Linked DNA regions of Drosophila melanogaster. The protein of the gene in region 1 interacts with the protein of each later gene in a pairwise test. Each region holds a gene or a part of one and is shown on either strand. Other genes may lie near its edges. The genes, in order: Tsp42Ec and CG10274.

Region 1 (4,600 bases):
GTGATAAGGCAAGGTGTGGAGGGTGTGAATGATTCATCTTATGAACGATCTAACGCCCCCAAGATGGAATCGCACGAGGGCTAGATAAAATTCCGCCACCAGCAGTTTGCACCTACCATTCGTTGAATGAATCATTGCGCCAAGGATGTAATTTCCCAGGTTCGGACCACCACAATGATCTGGTATCTCGTGGGTGCAAAGCGATTCACCAAGTACAAGTACATGGGCATCGGAGCTTCCAGCACAAGTACATACGGAATTTTATGGCCGAGATAAGAGCGCAGCCGATAAGATGAGGACTCCGAGTAAGCTTTAATAGCCGCGTTCTGTCCGAGGGCCCATTCAGTTAGACGAACATCGTCACATCGAACGAACGGATTATCCAGCTAGCCAACGAGAAACCCGAACAGAACCCAGCACCATGAACTGTCTATCCGCGATGTTCAAGTACCTGCTGTACTTGCTCAACCTGGTGTTCGTGGCCGGTGGCATCCTGCTCATTGTGGTGGGCTCCATCATGCTCTCCACGATGGGCAACTTTACGGCCTTCGACGGAGGCGTTAACACCCAGACCATCCCGATCTGCATTATCGTCATCGGAAGTGTCACCTTCGTAGTGGCCTTCTTCGGATGCTGCGGCACCATTCGCGAGAACGCCTGCTGCACCACCATCGTAAGCACTCGGAAATCACCCACTGACCGAAATTGGATTCTAAATGACTTGGCATTCCTTTCAGTACGCCATCTGCATGCTGATTCTGTTCGGCCTGCAACTGGCCCTCTCCATCTGGATCTTCGCGGCCAACGACAAGTTCCTGTCCAGCATGGGCAAGGCAGTGGACAAGGCGTGGGATGAGAACAATGCCGCCCAGGGATACCCCATGGATGCCCTCCAGTTGGCCGTAAGTTTATCGAAATTCACCATCAGATGTCATTAGTTTTTTCCGGATATTTACGTATCTATTCCATTGCAGTTCTCTTGCTGTGGCAACACGGGATACCAACAGTATGAAACCGTGCCCAGCTCCTGCTGCGGCTACAAGGATCGCACCAAGGTGTGCGAAGCGGAGATCTACAGCCAGCGACCTGGCTGCCGGCAGGAGTTCGTCGATTTCTGGGCCTCCAATACGGACCTGATTCGATGGAGCAGTCTGATCATCGCCCTCTTCGAGCTGGGCATCTTCATCATGTCGTGCTGCCTGGCCAGCGCGATGAGGAAGCGCTAGAGCCGAAGTCAGATACAATCCTTAGACGTAGCCCAGTTCATAGCATAAATCCAACACACGAATTCCTCACTCACTCACTCACCGTAAATAAACCAGAATAGGTTAAGCCCAATGAAATATTATTGCTTATTCGCTGTCTACCTCTGGCTGCCGTCTATCTAATCAAGACAGGTTGATGTTTTTCCAAAAAGTATGTCCTTATCGGCCTGTTAGCCGAGTGCCGCGTTTCCGAGATCGAATGCCCTCAGTAGTGGTGAATCACCTCCATATGGCAATGGCTATCGATCTCCGCCCGCCGCCCAGTGCCCATTATCTATTTTTCGTTTCGGCCATGATTATGATAACAGGCACTTGCGTATCTTTCCTCCGATAGCGCCCGTGTCTGTTGGCCAATTTAAAAACAGTAGCCCATCTGGAGGAGCAGTCCAATCGAACGACAGTAAACGACGCGAGTGCGCGATAAAATCAGAGACACCGACAACTCCTTTGGATAAAACAATAGTGTTTATTTAATTCTACTAAATACAGGAGCAAACTATATACTTTCAAAATGGGTTGTCTATCGGGAATAGTCAACTTTATTTTATATATTGTCAATATCGTGTTTTTGGTAAGTGCTTGTCGGTTGAGTATCTAAGTAAAAGGAATTAATAATGTAATGAGACGTGTAACAATAGACCAAACACTACTGGGTGCAGATCCCAAATAGGTTCCAATTATGGATAACTTCATACTCTCCAATTACTTGTGTTATAATGAACTTCCAAAAAATGTCCATTAATTATGTTAATTTATTTATCAAACTGTAGATGTTTATTTATTTGCATATAAGACCTTCTAGCTGACTTCTGTCATTCATTAATCAAGTCATATGCAATAAATATTTGTGCAACAAATATCGAACATGTATTATTTAAAACAAGTGAAATGAAATTTGAAAATCCATAAATTACGCATCGGTCGCTTCCTTTCGATTGTCTTTGAGTCACAAGGTTTAACACTATTATTCATATAAATGTGCTGGCATAGATAATAATATCTATCTGTAATGCAAGTGTGGACGGACATACAGAATTTTATCAGTTGATTGACATTATCAGTGTTTTGTAATATAAGTAATGAGCCCAAAATGAGCTTCAAAGGGGGCACACATGCACACAAGTTCACATTTTAGCAAGGCTAAGTTGGAGTGAATAAAAGATCATTTAGAGAATAAACTAAGGAAATACAACAAACTATTATTTACAAATGATTTATTATTTATCCAAATAAATGTGTAGTTACTCGCAGTATTAACGCAGCTAAAAGATACATTTTTCACCTTAAGAATTATGCCAAAAACAAGATAAAGGTGATTAACGTTTGTTTTTTTTATCAGCTACGTTTTTAAACTAGCCATATCCGTCTGATTGTGAATTTCATTAATTTGTATGCAAGTATAAGACTTGATTATTCACTTTGTTAATCACTTTGTCAACTTAAAGAATCAAATGAAGAAATTTAAGTAAATCTTGGTCACCGACATCCTGAAGGCTATTTTAAAAGCTCATATCTTAGTCCAGTTTGCGGACAAGTTTTCAGTACATAGATATTCCCGGATAATTAGAAGTCCATAAAACATTCATTATAATGTGGTATGCTTATGACCATAAAACTGTTAGGCAACCAGAGATGCCTTCTAGTAATACTCCGAATACTTCCAGATCGTTGGCATCCTACTGATCGTGTTGGGCTCGATCATGCTGTCCGATCTGAGCCGCTTCGATGTCGCGGGGAGTGGGACGGACCCGAACACCATCCCCATCTGCGTCACCGTCCTGGGAGGCCTCATCTTCGTGGTGTCCTTCTTCGGGTGCTACGGCATTTTTCGGCAGAGTGTCTGCATGACCGGCGCGGTAAGTTTGCGTGAAGAGCATATCCCAAGGAATTCGAGCTAATTGAAGTTGAATGCTTTGCAGTACACCAGCATGGTTTTTGTGCTCTTTATCCTGCAACTGGTGCTTACGTGCTGGGTGTTCGTGAACCGATCTGCCTTCCTGGGCGATATGTCCAATCTGGTTAACTTGCTCTGGGACTCCCATGACTACACTGCCATGGGCGTTCTTGAGGAAACCTTCGGCTGCTGCGGTGATACGAGCTATACCAACTACAACAACATCGGCCTTTCGGTTCCCGGAACCTGCTGCGGCTACCTGGACCGCCAGGCCACATGCAACACCCCCTCGGTCTACCAGTCGAGGCCCGGCTGCAGCGCCAAGTTCGAGGAGTTCTGGAACGACAACATGGACATCATCCGCTGGTCCGGCCTCGGCCTCTGCATCTTCGACCTGGTCGTCTTCCTCATCGCCGGCGCCCTGACCAACTGCATGCGCAGCCAGAACGCAGGTCGCCAGGTGTACGCCTAAACTTGTGAGGAACAAGCCAAAGGCCAAAGGATCTACATATGTCTACTTATGTTACCATATAACAAACTGTTTTTCGAGCCGTGCCAATATTAATATATACGTCTACATTTCGCCTATTTATCAGTTACTACTTATGTTATTCTTTATACTCTTTTTGGAGCAATGCCAATATTAATATATACCGCTACAACATTTACCATTACTCGTCTTTCTTATAAGGATAAATGGGTTATTTTACCAATTATGATTTTTCTAACTGGCTTAAAACTTCTAAAGAGTATATTTGTTCATCTATGTTTTCCTACAGAATGTGCAGTATTTGAGGCATACACTTAGGCTGTTTTTTTTTTTTTTTTTTGATTGCCCTAATGTTTTCCATAAGTTGGAAAATTTTGGAGAATTGCTGTTATGTTACGCATATGTTAAGACAATAACATTGACCTGAATGTGATAACATTAAATTTCCCTTATTAACATTTGGAACATATCCAAAAAATTCCAATCGCTCCAACTAAGTAACATTTAACAATTTCTCCAATTTATTATGTGACATTCTCAACTTTCAAATAGAAATTTCAATTGTGACTAGATAATGCTACTAATACTAATTTCAAAGAGAATTAGCCAATCCAAGACGAAATCAAATAATATTATTATATTATTATATTATTATTATTAATAATAGCTTTGTAACCCTGACTAAATCATTGACAAATGATTAACGAATCCAAGGTGCAAGAGTTCAACTTGTGATTGATTTATCCAACTGATATTCACACAGCTTTAATATGCATATTACTGGATTTACGCCGGCTTTAAAATAGGTTTGAAAAAGTCAGGAATAGCGATCTAAAAAGAAGAAATACATTCACCAAATATTTTTGACTTTCGACTAGAAGGCACGATTTTTTTAACATTGCGTTGATCAATGTTTTGAAAACCAAACTGACATTGGCATGTAGATGTTTT
Region 2 (5,585 bases), on another chromosome or scaffold:
CACCCCGCAGAGGGACTTCCCCTGCACGGAGTGCGAGAAGGTCTTCCGCTGCCCCACTGCCCTCAAGAAGCACATGTACAAGCACACGGGCGAGGAGCTGCCCTTCGCATGTGAAATTTGCGGCAAGCGCTTCCCCATCAATAGTGTGCTGCGCGACCATCTGCTGCGCCATGCGGGCATCAAGAACCATGTGTGCCCGTACTGCGGAGTGGGCAAGACGACGCGCCAGGAGTGGAACAAGCACATCCTTACCCACACGAAGGAGAAGAAGTACGAGTGCCGGCAGTGCGACCACGCCTCCCACAACAAACAGGCGCTGGCCAACCACGTGAAGGTGGTGCACGAGAAGCGCAAGGACTTTGCCTGCCAGTACTGCGGAAAGACCTTTGGCAAGTCGCACGCCTGCAAGATTCACGAGAGAAGTCATACCGGCGAAAAGTGCTGCGAGTGCAAGATCTGCGGCAAGGTGTTCCTCTTCGAGAAGGGCCTAACCAAGCATTTGAAGACGCACGAGAAGCGTGATTTGCCCAAGACGCAGGGGACCAATGCCTTAATGGGCGACGGGGCCAGTGGATCCTCGACAATAGCCAAGCCCAGTCCGCACCTGCGTGGTCGCGTCGAGCGGGTGGACATTGCTCAGTTGGCGGGAACGGTGGCCAATCCAATTCCATCGGTCAACCTGCCCTCGTGGTCGCCGCAAGTGAACTTCACCAAGAAGGAGGGCCAGCATATCTGCCCGGACTGCGGCAAGGGCTTCAATCACGTGAGCAACATGAAGCTGCACTACAAGGTGGTGCATCAAAAGGTCAAAGACTTCTGCTGCCGCTTCTGCCCGAAGAGATTCGCCAAGAAGCAGTACCTGCGGCACCACGAGTACATACACACTGGCGAAAAGCCTTACGAGTGCAAGGTGTGCGGCAAGCATTTCCGGCAGGAGCAGGTGCTCAAGACGCATATGAAGGTGCACGACAAGCCGCCCCGTCCGCCTGGCAAGCCCAAGGAGCCGGCTGGACCCAAGGCGGAGTCCAGCACCGCGGTGAAGCGCCAGCAGCCGAAGAATTTCGAGCAATACCAGGATCCGGCGGCGGAAAGGGCAGCGGCCACCGCCGAGCTGCTGGCCTACCAGATCGAGGAGAACGAGGCCAAGCGCAAGGCGGAGGCGGAGCTCCGGAAGATCCAGGAGGCTGCCTTCGAGCAGCTAAACAAGCTGCAGAAGCAGTCGAACACTTACGACGGCTTCTACGCGCAGAAGGCGGAGGCGGAGGGCACCTCAGTGGACGCACTGAAGTTGGATCATGTTTGAGCGGCAGAATCAAACGGAAATGCTTGCGAGCAAACCCGGCCTCCGTTTCCGATCATTTCATTATGTGTTTCTATGAAGGACATATGAGTTATAGTTCTCTAAGGATTACCAACTAGTTTTCGTCACTTTGCAATTTGATCTTTTTTGTATTTAAATCCCCCCTTTAAACTGCTTAAGTTTGTACTTTACTAATTGTATTCATTTAACAATGATTTAATATAATAAACAGTAATAAGTATTGAACATTTGAATTTTAAATTCGCCCCAGTGCTGGTAAGCGGGTATTGTTGGTAAACAAGACAGAGGTGAGCTGTAATGCTGCCAACTCGTCTGTTTTTTAGCTACATTCCACTAGCTATGCAACTTATATGAGACACATATAAAACTACGTATTTAATTTAGGTTAATACATACATTTATTAAGAATCACACTTAAAATGGCACATATTTTTTAAAACATTTGAAATTTGTTATTGATGCTATCCATATTTCTAGCCGGTTTAATAATTTAGCTATTAAATAACTGTTTGTACTTGGCATCACTGTGGGGTATTTTTTGGTATTTGTTTTGGTTCGTCTGACGCGTAAAGTTTTTCTCGGCTTAATATTCCGCGGATTTGGCCAGCAGATTCCCCCTGGAACAGGCATCATGCAGGAGGAGGCCGAGGCAGCCCAGTACTCGGTGCACGCGGTGTGCCGCATCTGCCTGAATCGCCTGCCGGAGAATGGCGGCGGCGCAGGATCCTTTGACCTGTTCCTGATACCCGGATTGGCCAAGAAACTGTGTGTCTGCACTTCGCTGGCCGTGGAGCAGTCGGATGGCTTCCCCAAGTGTCTGTGCGCGCAATGCTTCAGCCGGCTGGACGATATGCACGAGTTCCAAAAGCTGTGCGTGGACTCGGTGCAAAAGTTCCAGGACATGGTGGCCAGGAACGTCTTTTGCCCGCCAGCGAGTGCGCAGATGAAAAACTTTGATTTGCTCAACGTGGCGGGGAACGAGCCTGAGCTGGTGGGGCAGGACGAGGAGGATCGTATCAACTTCGATCCGCTACTGGATCACAAAATGGAGATGATCGAGAACGAGGAGGATGTGTTCAAGATGTTGGAGCACGTGGACAAGGAGGCCGAGCAGGTGGAGAAGGAAGTGAAGCAAGATGAATTGGACGCCGCCGATCTGATGACCATCTTTGCCGCGGAATCCTCGGAGGAGAGCGAAGAAGATATTGACCAAGATGTGGACTTTGAGCCCAACAGTAGCGATGGTGACGATGATGTGCCTTTGGCCCAGCGCTTACGGGATAATTCGCGGATGATACCAAAAGCAAAGGCAGCCGTAATTAAGGAAGAGGACCAAGAGTTCCCAACAGGCTCCGAAGAGGAGGACGAGGACGGAGAAAAGTCAAAGAGTCGACGCAAGAGGATTCCGCCTGGCGAACGGCACCTGCACCGCATCATTGACTGCCACATTTGTCACCAAAAGTTCAAGAAGGCCATCCGCTACGAAGAGCACATGAAGCACCACAACGACCTGCTGCCCTTCCAGTGCAAAGTGGAAACCTGCAGGAAAGGTGTGTAATGATGGCTCCAAATCGCATTCTCGTTTTGATCACTGGCATTTACAGGTTTCACCACCGCTGGAGGATTACGACTTCACATCGACCACGCCCACACGGAGCTATCCGAGGTGCACTCCTGCAATGTCGATGGCTGCGGCAAGACCTTTCCGCGCATACGCCTGCTCACCTTTCACATGAAGAAGATGCACGGCATCACCAAGGCAGCGGCGCCCCCACGGGATTACCCTTGCACCGAGTGCGAGAAGGTATTCCGCTGTCCCATGGCGCTCAAGAAGCACATGTACAAGCACGACGGCAAGGAGTTGCCTTTCCCCTGTAACATCTGTGGCAAAAGGTTCGTAATCAATAGTGCTCTAAAGGATCATCTGATGCGGCATGCGGGCATTAAGAACTACGTGTGTCCGTACTGTGGCGTGGGAAAAACCACCAGGCAGGAATGGAACACACACATACTGACGCATACCCAGGAGAAGAAGTTCAAGTGCCACATATGCGAGCACGCATCGCACAATAAGCAGAGCCTGGCCAACCACATTAAGATCGTGCACGAGAAGATCAAAAACTATGCGTGTCAATACTGTGGAAAGACCTTTGGCAAGTCACACGCCTGCAAGATCCACGAGATGACGCACACGGGGGAAAAGCGCTGTGAGTGCAAGGTAAGGGTAGAAAGATATTTTAAGCCAGCGTCGTCATTGCAACGTTTTGTTTTTAATATTCTTAGGTTTGTGGAAAGAAGTTTCTCTATCCTAAGAGTCTGACCAAGCACTTGAAGACTCATGAGAAGCGTGTGCTTCGTGCTATTGAGACCTACCGCCAGCGGCAGGTGGAAATGGGCGAGACGCCTGGTGAACAGTTCGACAATCCACCCGCGCCACCAGTTGAGGGCATATCCATTGAGCCGATCATGTCCCGAAACGCTGCCGACGAATTGCTTAAGGTGTGCGCCGAATCCGTGGCCACCATTCCCAAAGATCCACGCCGTGTACAACGAGTGGATCTGGCGCAGTTGGCTGGCACTGCTGTGAACCCCATACCCTCTGTTTCAGTGCCGTCGTGGTCGCCGCAGGTGAACTTTACCAAGAAGGAGGGCAAACATATCTGCCCCGGTTGTGGTCAGGGATTCAACAATATCGGAAACATGAAGCGGCACTATAAGATCATCCACGAAAAGGTCAAAGATTTTGCCTGCCGCTTTTGCCCCAAAAGATTCGCAAAGGCTCAAACGTTGAGGCATCACGAGTGGATTCATACGGGCGAGAAACCCTTTGAGTGCAAGACCTGCGGCACCCATTTCCGCCAGGAGACGGCGCTGAAGCGCCACCAGCGCACCCACGAGAACCGTCCACCCGTCATTTCGCCCAAGTTTTATGCCGCTCGCGAGGAGCTGGAAGAGCAGGAACGCAGCAAGCGAGAGGCGAAGCGCCAGGCGGATGCGAAGCGGCGCGAAATTGCGGAGGCGGCCAAGGAGCAGCTATCGTCGCTGCACAAGCTTGAAAGTAGTGACCGCAGCCTGCACTCCTACGATGAGTACCAGGAGGCAGCGGCGGAGCGAGCAGCGGCATCCGCTGAACTCCAGGCGCAGCAGTTTGAAGAGAACGAAGTAAAGCGACTGGCGGAGGAGGAGCGCCGCAAGGTTCAGGAGGCTGCCTACGAGCAACTGCAACTGTTGCAGCATCAGCAGGAGGTTGACAAGGCGCAAAGCTCCTACGATGGCTACTACGCTCAAAAAGCACATGCCGATGGCACCACTTTGGATGCTTTAAAAATCGATCATGTCTGAGATTTGGCCAGCGTTTAACGCTGTCACAGATGGTAAATCAATCCTGGGTTTTTTTTATGAAAAGCAATACCTTATAATCCTTATGAGAACAGTGTGTGTAAGATGGATATGATATAGTTTTAAGCTGAAAATATTCTTTAATACTATTTAATATAATGTCCTTAACTGTAGTACAAATAATACTGTACATTATTCAGGAGAACACAGAATACCTATGTGAATTCGACTTAAGTTTAATGATTCTGGTCTGAATGGAGAGGTTGCATGTCAAATATCATCTTTTCAATAGATGAATTGATTGTGGCAGTTATATATTTATATATAAAGATTGTTTATAAGTAGCTTAAAAAATAAATTTGCCCTATTAAGAGCTTAAATCTAATCGGAATTTTTTGTTTTAAATTCATAAGTTTTACTCCTCCTTGAGTATGAATAGCTTCTTAAGGCTGTCTAGTGTCATGTTCTCCAGATCCCAGTGGGTCGACAGCGTAGTCGTGTCATCGGCTGAAGTAATTAGCGATAGAATATTCTCCTCAATCGTTTCATTCACAATGAAACGATGCACCTTCGTGGGTCTAAAAACAATTGTATTGAAACTGACAGCAACTTCACTTCAATAGCGCGCACTCACCTCTTTTGCCCAAATCGGTGAATACGACCTATGGCCTGGCGCTCGTCTCCCGGATTTAGAATGGGTTCGACGAGGAAAACATGTGTGGCTTCGATCAGGTTCAAACCCTTTGAGCCTTTGGACAGTGGCATTAGTAGACAGGTAACATTGCTCAACGGATTCTAAAGGAGGAAAAATGTTTAGCAGTGATAAATTAAATTTAACAGCAAGATAAAAACCTTGAAATCATCAAAGTCCTTATTTGTGCACTTATTGCGGAATTGAATGCCGTTGAGACTGAGCGCTCTGGCA

Evidence for each region.
Region 2: the proteins of Tsp42Ec (region 1) and CG10274 interact in a two-hybrid assay, tested with the Drosophila melanogaster proteins (one large-scale study listed by BioGRID).

The regions. Positions count from the first base shown.
Region 1 is NT_033778.4:7,004,797-7,009,396, forward strand, and holds Tsp42Ec (tetraspanin 42Ec), read left to right. Parts: upstream 1-1,645; 5' UTR 1,646-1,776; coding exon 1,777-1,836; intron 1,837-2,929; coding exon 2,930-3,121; intron 3,122-3,184; coding exon 3,185-3,631; 3' UTR 3,632-3,826; downstream 3,827-4,600. Other genes in the region: CG30160 (uncharacterized protein), read left to right, coding at 422-673, 738-902, 975-1,226.
Region 2 is NT_037436.4:6,178,135-6,183,719, reverse strand, and holds CG10274 (uncharacterized protein), read left to right. Parts: upstream 1-1,890; 5' UTR 1,891-1,952; coding exon 1,953-2,871; intron 2,872-2,925; coding exon 2,926-3,539; intron 3,540-3,604; coding exon 3,605-4,663; 3' UTR 4,664-5,043; downstream 5,044-5,585. Other genes in the region: D19B, read left to right, coding at 1-1,303; CG7376 (uncharacterized protein), read right to left, coding at 5,076-5,238, 5,295-5,455, 5,513-5,585.